3 linked regions of the Schizosaccharomyces pombe genome follow. Changing the gene in region 1 together with any one later gene gives a genetic interaction. Each region holds a gene or a part of one and is shown on either strand. Other genes may lie near its edges.

The links. Genes that interact genetically often act in the same process or in processes that back each other up.
Region 2: mutations in aga1 (region 1) and pof9 together harm fitness more than expected from each alone (negative genetic interaction), as found in Schizosaccharomyces pombe (one large-scale study listed by BioGRID).
Region 3: mutations in aga1 (region 1) and pfd1 together harm fitness more than expected from each alone (negative genetic interaction), as found in Schizosaccharomyces pombe (one large-scale study listed by BioGRID).

The regions. Positions count from the first base shown.
Region 1 is NC_003423.3:335,851-339,982, forward strand, and holds aga1 (glutamate N-acetyltransferase), read right to left. Parts: upstream 2,431-4,132; 5' UTR 2,289-2,430; coding exon 951-2,288; 3' UTR 599-950; downstream 1-598. Other genes in the region: mti2 (translation initiation factor IF-2Mt), read left to right, coding at 1-598.
Region 2 is NC_003423.3:1,870,018-1,873,857, reverse strand, and holds pof9 (F-box protein Pof9), read right to left. Parts: upstream 2,026-3,840; 5' UTR 2,012-2,025; coding exon 1,647-2,011; exon of another isoform or gene 1,577-1,646; coding exon 538-1,576; downstream 1-537. Other genes in the region: phosphoserine phosphatase Ser2, read right to left, coding at 2,557-2,655, 2,727-3,524.
Region 3 is NC_003423.3:1,755,364-1,759,167, forward strand, and holds pfd1 (prefoldin subunit 1), read right to left. Parts: upstream 1,896-3,804; 5' UTR 1,734-1,895; coding exon 1,725-1,733; exon of another isoform or gene 1,628-1,724; coding exon 1,461-1,627; exon of another isoform or gene 1,310-1,460; coding exon 1,147-1,309; 3' UTR 903-1,146; intron 860-902; exon of another isoform or gene 759-859; intron 680-758; 3' UTR 538-679; downstream 1-537. Other genes in the region: protein Fis1, read left to right, coding at 2,444-2,825, 2,939-3,039; actin cortical patch component End3, read right to left, coding at 3,595-3,804.

The DNA.
Region 1 (4,132 bases):
ATGTGAAGACACTGGGTCCATGGAGGCCCTGTCAGATTATCTCAAACCATTACAATTTGGAAAGGTAAAATCTCGAGTCTTGTATACTGGGGTGGGTCCAGTAACCGAAACTGATATTGAGAGAGCTGAAACATCCGATGCCATCATTATATCGTTCGGTGTTTCCGTTCCGAAAGCTACTTTTCGTTTAGCAGAAAAACACAATGTAAAGCTGTTGTTTCACAACGTTATTTATCATTTAATGGATGATGTACGGAAACTTTTTGCTTTGCGATTACCGCCCATATTGGTTCAGCGTGTTACCGGAGAAGCTATTATTAGTGCAATCTTCGACATCAAAGCTAAAAGAGCAGTTGTTCATGTCGCTGGTTGTCGAGTTACTAATGGAACTATTGAAAAATCCCATAAAATACGTTTAGTACGTAATGACAAAATTATTTGGTCTGGTGAAATTGACAGTCTAAAACACTTAAAAGAAGAAGTCACCAGTATTAAAAAAGGCAGGGAATGCGGTATATTATTAAAAAATTTTGACGAAATAGTTACAGGGGATAAGCTACAAACATTTGTTGAGGAATACAAACCTCCTGATTTTTAGCATGCACTTCTTATTTAATCCTGGCTTGAACTCCTTTCAATTAAGGCAGGCAATCGAATGAAAAGATTCATGTTATTATGATATACTATGATTGATGTTACATGCATAATGAACTTTCGCTTAAAATTGCAAACTTCTACCATAAGCAAGCAAAGCTTTTTATACATACTTTTTTGTTAATGAATGCATCTCAGCAATCCTTTTTTTCTGTTAGACACGTATTGTAAACGAACGTCGTGTATGTTCATCAAATTGAATTGAAGAGTTTAAAGCTGTAAAAACATGAAGCTTTCTTGGTATCAAAGCGTAGAGCTCACTCTTGGTTAATTTGGTAACTGACCACTGTTCTTTTTTAACTGCGATAATCAGCATTAATACGAACATAGTCATACGAAAAATCGCAAGTCCAATTTGTTTTGGCATAAGGACCACATCCAAGATCAACGTCTACAGTGAGTTCGTCTTGCGATAATATTTCGCTAGCACGGGTCTCATCGACATTTTGTGGTTCACCATTTACTAAAAGCTTCAATGGTTCAGTTCCGTCTGCAGGAATAAAACTAACGGTCGTAGCAGGAGGATTGACAGCAGCACCTGAATAACCGACGGCACACAAAATACGACCCCAGTTAGCGTCCTCACCAAAGAATGCCGTTTTCACCAATGCAGAGTTACTAATGGTTGATGCCACCAACGCAGCGTCTTTCTCTGATCTAGCGCCTCTGACTTGCACAGTAACGAATTTCGTAGCACCCTCACCGTCACGGACAACCAGCTTTGCAAGTTGTTGAGCAATATCCGTTACAGCATCACGAATCTCCTTGTATGCAGGGGAAGACTTGGTAATCTCGGATCCACCAGCAGCTCCATTTGCAAGGAAGGCAATTGTATCATTTGTACTCGTATCACCATCAATACTGATAGAATTGAAACTGTTGTTAATTGCATGACGAAGTATAGATCGGACTGCATCAACTGAGATTGGGGCATCTGTAACAAACAAACCTAAAAGAGTGGCCAAGTTGGGATTGATCATACCTGCGCCCTTGGCAAAACCTGCAATCCTGTAGACTTTGCCTGCAATACTAAGTTCACGGGAAACGAGTTTAGGGAAAGTATCCGTAGTGCAAATGGCCTCAGCTGCTCTCATCCAGTATTCATGAGTGGACCCGAGGTCTTCAACCGCGTGTTCCAAACCGCTTTGAATCTTGTCTAACTTCAAACGTTGTCCAATAACACCAGTCGACATCACCAACGACGAGGGAAATTCCTCTGAATTCTCAGTCCACGAAGTCCAATGTGGACGAGTCAAATTATCAGCTTCGGCGGTAATGAGTTGGGCATCCATCAAACCGCCCTCACCAGTAACAGCGTTAGCGCAACCGCTATTGAACACGACACAGTGAATATCTTTACCGCCACAGCCGTTCAGAGTTTGGCGTGAAACTTGAACTGGAGCAGCTTGAAATGCATTCTTAGTAAAGACGGCTGCGGCGTTGCATGGTCGAGAGGAAAATAAAATGGCTAAATCCTTTTTTCCATTGGCTTTTACGCCGGAAGCAATACCATTTAAGCTGAAACCTTGTGGATACGTTCCAGATTTACTGATGAATTTGGTCTTGTCGGGCATCGTACCAACAAACCGAGCCCGACCAATGCCAGCAAGACGTGCAAAAATTTTGGTTTGCATAGCAATGAATTTAATGGTCAGTCTTGTAACAAAATCAGTGGATCCCTTTTTTAGTAGAATTGAACGAGCAGTTTAATAAAAGCTACAATAATGTAAACTTGCTTTGTATATAAATATATATATGCGATGGCGGTAGTGGTTTAAGAAGGATGAAGTCTGAATCTTCGAAGCGGTTATCAAGTGAAACTTGATAAGAAGATGGGAATGCTGCACAACAAAAGTAGGTATAGCGAACAACTAATTTGTTTGAAATTTATTATTCTTACGTTTAATTAATGATACTTTATGAGCCTTACGTTCGAAAGGATGAAAACAAGTAGCTCCCTAAACCTTACATTCGGGATTAGCTTTGCCTTCGTTTTCTCAGATCTACATTACAGAATATCAGTTATCCCTCTCATAATGTAGTGCAAAGAGAAGGGAAAAATGCTGGGATCTGTCTGTTCTGCTGCTTTTACACATTCATGAACATATAACTGATAGATTTTCAGTTTAATTGGGGCTGCTACCACTGTTTAATTTATTTGGTTGAGTTTCAAACAGCAAAGAAAAACTTCGTGAAATCGGCAAAGTCCAACCACCTCCAAGTTTTATTGCCTTTTTCAAACTTTTCATTGCTTTTTTTAAAAAAGAAAATACCAATTCATGCTTCCAACGCATCATTTCACAATCAAGACTTGCATGTAAATTTAAAGCCAGTTCATCAACATTTTACGTGAAAAATTTCAATTCCTTAAAGTGTGTTTTAAGCAAGAAATAGAATAATAATCTTTATAGTGTTTGATTTATTTCAATTTAACTCGTTTCATTCATTAATAGCTGTTCCTTGCGATTTCAAATTTGAAGGCATGTTGAATTTGGAAATTCTATGTGTTGCTATTCTCTTCTCTTTTTTAAAGAGAAATGTTTAAATAGTATTAATGGTTTTAACTATGCTCAAAAAAAGAGGGAGCACAGCACAACCGAAGACCAATGCAACATACCATTGTTGGAATTGAATTAGCTTGCTGTGGTTATTGTTTATTTTCAATTTTTTTTATGTTGGTTTGCAGGGTTTAACGAATGGTTTCAGCACGTTTTCAAACACTTTCATAGTTTAAACTGGTTCATCAATTTTAATCACAAATAAGCGTTTAAACAAACTGCGGGTTTTGTTTCGCATCAAACTTTCAAGTTTCACGTTTAATTCATTAACAAAATTTAATGTAGTTTAATCTGTTTCAGGAATACGTTTTAATATTGTTTCAACAATAGTTCAGGTACAGTCGTTTTATTTCTTTTCTGTTTCAGTCATTCGCAAAGTTTAAACATTGTAAGTGCTTTCAAGGATAACAATGCAGCCAAAAAGTGTACCAAAAAGAATTCAATTACAGTAGACAAAAAATGGAATCCATTTTTAAGTAGATTCCATCAGTCATAATAATAACTATCACTATCTAAGCTACTATTCATCCAAAAAAGAGACAAGGCTCACATAAACCAACTTGGGGGTTGGTTTAACTGGACCCCATCAAGAAATTTAACAGAGCTTAGAAGACAAGGTAAAAAGAAAAGTGGTACCGAATCCAGCTTTTTGAATGACCATTTCAAAATGTTGCAAGAAAACAACGTTTCTTATAATATTCCAAATTAGAAAAAAACGAACAAACCACAACACAAAGAAAGAGACATTCAACCAACTAAAGCGATCTTGCATGCATATTCCGTCTTACAATAGTAAAAGAGAAGTGCTTTTAAATCAAGACGGCAGAAGATTGACCAACATTTTAATACCCACTAAGTCTGTTTACCTCCCTTGTTTCGCAGACTTCATCGACTATTTATAGGAATTTCCAATGCATAGT
Region 2 (3,840 bases), 1.5 Mb from region 1:
AAAATACCGGTTTTCTCGACACCTGGATCTGTAAACAAAACCCCCAAGTTAGGGTCGCCAGAAAAAAATGGGGTGGTTAGGAATATTACAAACCACCAACGCAAACGACAAATAGAGAGCAAGAGCCCAACAAATTTTGACCACCGAGGATTTAATATGAAAATCGGTAACCTTCCTTACAGTCCAAATCAATTAAAAAAAATAATAATGTTTGGTAAAAACTCGTCGTAGTAGCACAGTAACTTAATTCACAGGGGTCAGGAATATAAATTGGTCAATGTGTGTACTTTATGTAATTGCGATACAGGAAGAAGGAAAAAAAATTTTCTCACTTATTTAATCACCGTTGTGTTTTCCTTGTGCTGCTTTTTTTTATAATTGGCTTACCTAGAGGAATTAGTAAAAATAGAGATAAATTCGGAAGTCCGAGGTGGCCGAGATATTTATTTATTTCACTTACTTAGCGGACAAAATAAAATCCTTCTCTAGTGCGCACGCGGAAATTAGCTTACCAAGCAAAGTTGATCACTATTTCACCTAGCCGTCCCTTTCCAAAGTCCGAGTCGCAGGGGCAGCTAAAAAGCGCAACGCTGGAACTCTGGATGGTCGGATGATAGAAAAAGTTGTAATTGGAGGCACATTGACTTCGGGTAAAACAGATTCCGAAATGGCGAGAGCAGCACTTTGCCATCCGCCGGCTGCAACTGAATAGCAAGTTCCTGAAAAGTGAATTTGATGTGGAATGGAAACGATGTTGCGTGCGGTGCGTGGATCAGAAACAATGCTGGGATCAGATGTCTGTTCTTGCAAATGAAGAGAACCCAAACCTAAACACCCACAATAACGTAATTCAACACCCCACGACCATATGGAATGATCGCTTGTTAAGTAAAGATGATGATGATCGCCATGCGCCAATTGCTTAATTCCTCGGTTCTGGAGAAAGTCGTGGATAACCGGGTCATCATCGACCTGCTTGGTATTAGCATGACCCATGTAAACAGTATTGCCATCGTCCGATAAACATGTGAAAGTTTCAAAGCTGCCTGCTAAATGCCAACCTTGATGGGGGTCGTGCGAAGCGAACCTCTTCAATTCTCTTCCTAGCGTGTGTTGTGTAGCTTGGTCCAGGTCTAAACGAAACACGGCGCCTTTTTTCTGAGGTGATGCGACAGTATACACTAGGAATCCTGCGCAGTGAACATAATCGTTCAGCACGAATTCCTTCATCGATGCCTCTGGCTGGAAAAGTTGCGCTTCACTTTCTCGTCCAGTGTGCCAGACAAGAAAGCCAATGCCCGGCACATACGCCGAATGCGAGTCCCAACCTGATTTAAAATTAGCAATTCTTCCGCGATAGGCTGATAGCATATTTTGTTCATCTGTCAAGCAAATTCGTGTTTTTAGAGATACTTGATACAAGTGTCCCGTCTCACCGAGTGCAAGACAAAACTCTCGACCAGCATGGATTTTCACAATTGGCTCTAAATCTCTCATCAATTCGGGCCCAACATTGTTTGGTACCCCCGTAACATATAAATTTCCGTTTTCATTTAATAAATACATCCCATAACCTCTAAATTCCGCATAGGGAATAGTTAGTCATTGTAGTGCAGTCAAATAAATTCCTGTATCTATGCGCTTACCCAACTTGAACCTGAATAGTAGAACGAACGTCCTTCCCAGTCAATGCACCAGGACGATCTCGAGGATACTGATTTGTATTGACGACGCGGCCCAAATAGTTTCTTATCTGTTGCCCCCATGAGTAAGCGTATCCTCGGTCTTTCCATACAGCATAGGGTCTTTTGTAATTATCATCAACAACTGGGACTACATTGGTGAGACCTTGGACCCGTGCACAAAATCGATGCCAAATTGTTTTGTCGTCAAAAACATACGAAAGTGACTTGCATGTTTCTGACAAATGAACTATATCTTTATAATCAAGATATGTACTAATTTCTAGCAATATATCGTAAGAAAGCTCCAGGAATGGTGATTTAGCCATAATGAATCTCGCATGGGTAGTAGTATATGAATACCTCTGAATATATACAAGGGAAACGGTGTTGAAATACGTCAAAAGCACATGTTTTCTGCAACTCTTAATAACTAGATACAATTGTATTATTTACAATTAATAAATGATAATAAAGAAAGGTCTATGAAACGAAGGTGTAGTCATTGCACGAATCAATTTCAAAGTCTATCAGCATAACGAAGCAGATTTAAGAGTAAATGATCGGCTTTATAAAAACCAATTGAGTAATTCTTGTCTGTTTTAAAGAAGAAAGCTTCTGAACTGCCCCTTTTTTTTTAAGCATTCATTGCACACCCTTTCCAATGAAGCATTGATCATACCAAAATTGTAAATTAAGGAAAAAGAAAAATAAGAGTATCAAAAATAAAGAAGTAGGGTATATAAAAGACGGCTCCTACTACAGAAAAAAAGACCACGCGCACAAGTAAAATATTGCTTTATAAAAACCAAGCCACAGTAGCTCAGAGTTCTTGACAGCGCCTTGCGATTGAAAAATTCTTGGAAATTCTAAATTAATTTTTGTTTTCCAATAGCTTTTTTTGTTGTTGCTCATCAATACCCAAGAGGTAAAGAGCGTTTTGCAAAGATGGAAGATTGATTTTCGAATCAGCCTAATTAAAAAAAAAAATCGAGTTAGTAAGATCATTAAAAACATAAATTTGTAAAAAAATTTCGAACATACCAATAATTGAACTTTGGGTTTAGCTTTGAACGCAATTCCTAAACCGGATTCGGCCATCATGACCAAATCGTTAGCTCCGTCCCCAACAGCCATCGTTTCGAGCTTATTTAAACCCAACTCTTCCCTCTTTTCACGCAAAATGGAAGCTTTTCGTTGTCCATCTACAATTGCACCTTGAACTTTTCCAGTGAGGAATTTACCATCATCGGAAAATTCAAGTACATTGGCATATGCATAGTCCAAGTCCAGTTGTCCCTTGACATATTCAGCCATTGGAACAAATCCACCACTAGCGACAACAAGAGTCGCACCCATTTGCTTAAGGCAATGACAAAGCTGTTTAGCTCCTGGAGTGAAAGTAATTTTGCCAATGACTTTATTTATGACATCGACGCTCAACCCTTGTAGTAGAGAAACGCGACGACGAAGTGATTCTTGAAAGTCAATTTCCCCATTCATTGCAAGAGATGTAATCGTAGCAACCTCTTTCTGGATGCCTGCTTCTGCCGCGAGCTCGTCAATACACTCTTGTTGAATCAACGTCGAGTCCATGTCAAATACTACAAGCTTCTTTTTAGTGGAAAATGTTGCTTCACTCAAGCAATTACAGTCTACATTCTCAGTAGCAGAAATGCGGTTACAAGCGTCTTTAGCATCTTCAAACGTTCCTTTAAGTTGGCCTGATACTAAAGTCCACTGTTCCCCCAGAGAACGAGTCTTCCCATCTCTAAACAAGGAGGAAATCTGTTCAAGCACATTTGGACGATTTGAGGAAACAACTATGGCTGCGTTGACCATGCTTATTAAAAGGTATGAGTGGGTTTGCTAAATTTTCTAAGTTGAAAAGCGTTGTTTTCGGCAAGTCCCATTTACTAATTACTCGGCTATTGATTAAGCTTAACGTTAAACGACAACAAGTACTAGGTCAATTTAAGTTATTTGAAAATCTCAAACAAGCTTATTTTTTGTTATTGTTTACAAATTTATCATTATCTTCAAAATGCTGTATAAATTGTGAAGTTGGTAAAGTGGTGCCTAAACTCCGTTTTCAAACACAGGTTAATAAGCAAATATTTTTTTTATACATTAAAGCAATAAAGCAAGAAATCATAAC
Region 3 (3,804 bases), 1.4 Mb from region 1:
ATTTTATAAATTAAGTATTAAATTTTTTATTAGTATCATGAGTCTCGACATTTGAGGTTCCATTGTTCAGTTTTTCTTTTTTTTTTTGTTTTAAATTTTTTTTAAACTTCTTGGCATATAATTAGTAATGTTATTTTGTGTTTATTAGACTGCTTTCATAGGTGAAAATTTATGTTATATGTTTAAATTACTTCTTGATCAGTGTATGGGTACAATAGACCATAAACTAATAAAGTTATTTTTTTTTACCGATGGTGTTTAATCCTTTTTGCTTTTATTTAGCTAAATTTATTGTATATAAAGTTGTCTGCAGATCTTATCAAAAAGTTGAACTGCAGGATCTACATTAATGACTTTAACTAGAACTACAGCAAATTACCATCATAATTTAACGGCAACTTCACAATTCGTATATAGAATTATTATTTTAATTCAGAAACAAACATCTGATATGAGAGACCTTCAAGTCCTAATATTGTCGCCATAGTTAATATTAATACATTACTACATACTTTGTTAAACAATGATTAGTGACAGTTCGTTTCGGATAATTTTATTCATAAACTATAAGTAAGCTATAAACTATTCCTTGTGCATCTCTCAAAAAGAAATCAGAAGTTAATGGAGAACAAAACAGCTTCCACACAGTTAATGATATCCTTGAAAAAATATAGAACACCTTAAAGTATGGGTCAGTAAAACAGCCAACACAAAAGTCAGACAAACAGACGTTGAAAAAGAAAGAAACAAAAGGGAACGAGAAATCTCAGACTGACGTGCAAATCAGATGGAAAAAGTTTCAGCATACGATGCTCAGTTGAACTATGCTTTTTTGGAATCATCAAAGAAATCCTTTCTCCATTTACTTTTCCAAACGTCAATTCTAACAGTAGAAAACTTACCTTAAAAGTATAACATATACTAAATTCACAAGTCTTCAAGCTTGAAATTTAAGTATCCATACACAAAAGCGCAGTCACAGTGATCAAAATTTCGGCTCACAAATGCCCCAGTATTTGTTAGAAATGCAAGAAGATTAATGGAACAAATTTACTTTAATTCTACAGTTTTAAAGATAAAAAAGAAAGTCATAAACTTTCCAATCCCATAATCCAATTTACCAATGAGATGATTATAATTGATGTTTTAAGAAATCGACTCTTTTATCTTTTGTAAATGCTGCTCAGCATTTGAGGCCGTTGTTTCGTGATATGTTTGTTTCTTTTGTAGTGCTTCAATATCTTCTCTTAAACTTGCCATTTCTGCGTCCAAATGTGTACGTACGGAAGCCAAATCGGATTTCATAAACCTGTAAATAAACAGTTAGTAAATGACTTTACATATAGATTGACAGTACGGTCAATTCCATTCCAAAAGTGCTGTTTTTGCTAATTCCGTATTCTTTCCCTATTTTTATAGAAAAGAAAATAAAAATACATGTTTCATTTTATGACACTTACATCTTTCCAAGAGAAGTATATACGGCCTTATCTTCTCCAACATCCTCTAACTCTTTTTTGGCTAATTCACTTATTTTTAGTGCCCGTTCCTTGGCAGCAATCTGTACCATTATGGTCCTCAGTTGTTGCTGTGAATCAACCGCTTTCTCTTGTATTTGACTAGCTAACTAATATGCCCAAAGCTCATTAGTTTACCATGTAACACAGTTAAAAAGAGGGAAATTCCTAACAAAATAATTCTCTTCTCAATGATGAAATACGTACATTTTGCATTATTTAAAGGAAACTTGGGTATATCTCAAGAACTTATTTTTTTTGGATTGAATTGCTCTTTCCAAAATTATGGTACAAAGAATAGTCCTTTTAATACTTTTTTTATAGACAAATCAAGAACTTTTTCAATATATTTGAATATACCACCTTTACAAGTATATCAAGTCTTAGGCAAAATGTTGGTTAGGCCTTAAGTACAAAGCTGGCATGTTACAAGCTACTTTACACTGCTTTTATTATCGGTACGTTTCGCAAATGTGAATTACATAATACGCCACAATTTGTAATAAATATTTTGTGAAATGTTTTGCCATATCCTTAAGTTCTTCCTTACATAAATTGTTGGCGATGGCGTTCACAAACGAATCTTCATTTCATTCCTTCTCTGTTTCAAATTTTTGTGGAAAAAGCATATCCATATTCTTACTAAATCGGATTTCTGGACTTTTCTATTGCTTTGGAAATCCATTATCCTTGTAGTTCACTCATTTGCGCCTCAAATCCTTTATAATTGGAATTGGCTGTTTACATTGATAATTTAGCATTTTTGCATCATACTCAACCCTTTTTTTCTTCTTTTATATTTGAGTTGTTGAATTTTTTTTCAAGTGACTGTAGTTTTTTCAACATTTTCCGTTTATTTATATTAATCCGCCTTTAAAATAATTAAGGCACATTCAAAGACCAATATAGGAAGCAATAACGACATCATGACTGAAAAACACACCCTTCGCCTCGCTGATCCTTCTGCTATTGATTCAATTATTTCTGTTGATGAGTTTCTACAAATCAAGGAACAATACGATGCAGAACAACCTCTGATTACTTTACAAACCAAATTTAACCTTGCTTGGGCATTGGTACGCTCAGATTCTACACAGCATGTACAACAGGGATTATCTTTGTTCTGCAGCATTTACAAAGATTCACCGGAAAGGCGTTTGGAATGCCTCTACTACATTGCTTTGTCCCATTACAAATTGAAGCAGTATGAAGAATCCCGTCGTTATCTCAATATGTTGTTATCCAAAGATCCAAATAGCCCAGAGGCTTTAAAGCTAAAAAACCGTCTTTACGATGCTGTTACAAAAGGTATGTTTATTTTAATAAAACTTAATGAGGTATCACATATGCATGAATGTTGTGTTTATGTTAGAAAGATGCGTTATAAATAATGAAAAGAATCATTACTAACCCGTTTTTAGAAGGATACATTGGAATGGTTGTGGTAGCTGGTGCAGTGGTGTCAGTTGCAGCTCTTGTAGGTTGGGCATCAAAACGGTTGTTTTCAAAGCGTCGTCCTTAAACCGTAAACGATATTAATCACAAGGGAGCTTTCTTTTGCATAAATTCTTCAATTTTTTCTCCTTACGAACAATAGGATTGTGGATGTATCCTTTTCATGAAACGCGTATGAGTTACGAAGGCTTTGGGAGACATTATAGTGTGCACTTTTTTTAGAAAAAGAAGATTATAAATCGAAGCTTGTTGTTTTTATTATATTATCTTTTCTTCTTACCCAGTTGATAGTTCTGAATTCGCTTGTGTTTCTTCTTAACAGCAGGGTAATAAATTTACCTCAAGGAGGTTTTAGATTGTTATAAAAAGAGAGTGAGTATTTATTATAAAAGCTGAATAAGTTCCTCCTTTTATACTAATTCAAAAGTTTTGTATCGATTAAACCAAAAAATATAATGATGGACATTAATGAATGATTTTACAATCCAATTCCCTCTTCCTGTTTGAACAGTTTATTAAGCCCAATAAAGAAAGAAAGAAAGAGTGTACCTTCGTCGATTTTCCAAGAAAACATCCAAAGACTCAAGTATTTGAGATGATGAGCTTTATAAACGAGATTTTGTTAAGACAGACTACGAAGCCTTTCCTCTAGCTTAGCCACTTGAGACTTCCGACCTTCCAAGTGACGTCCCAAAACATTAAGTTGTTGTTCCAGCATTTTTAAGTCATTATCAATGGCGGAAGCGCTGGGGCCATTTGGTCCATCATTTTTTAGAGATTGAAGGATACCCAACTTATAGTCAAGTACTTTCTGTAAATCACGTTGAATAAG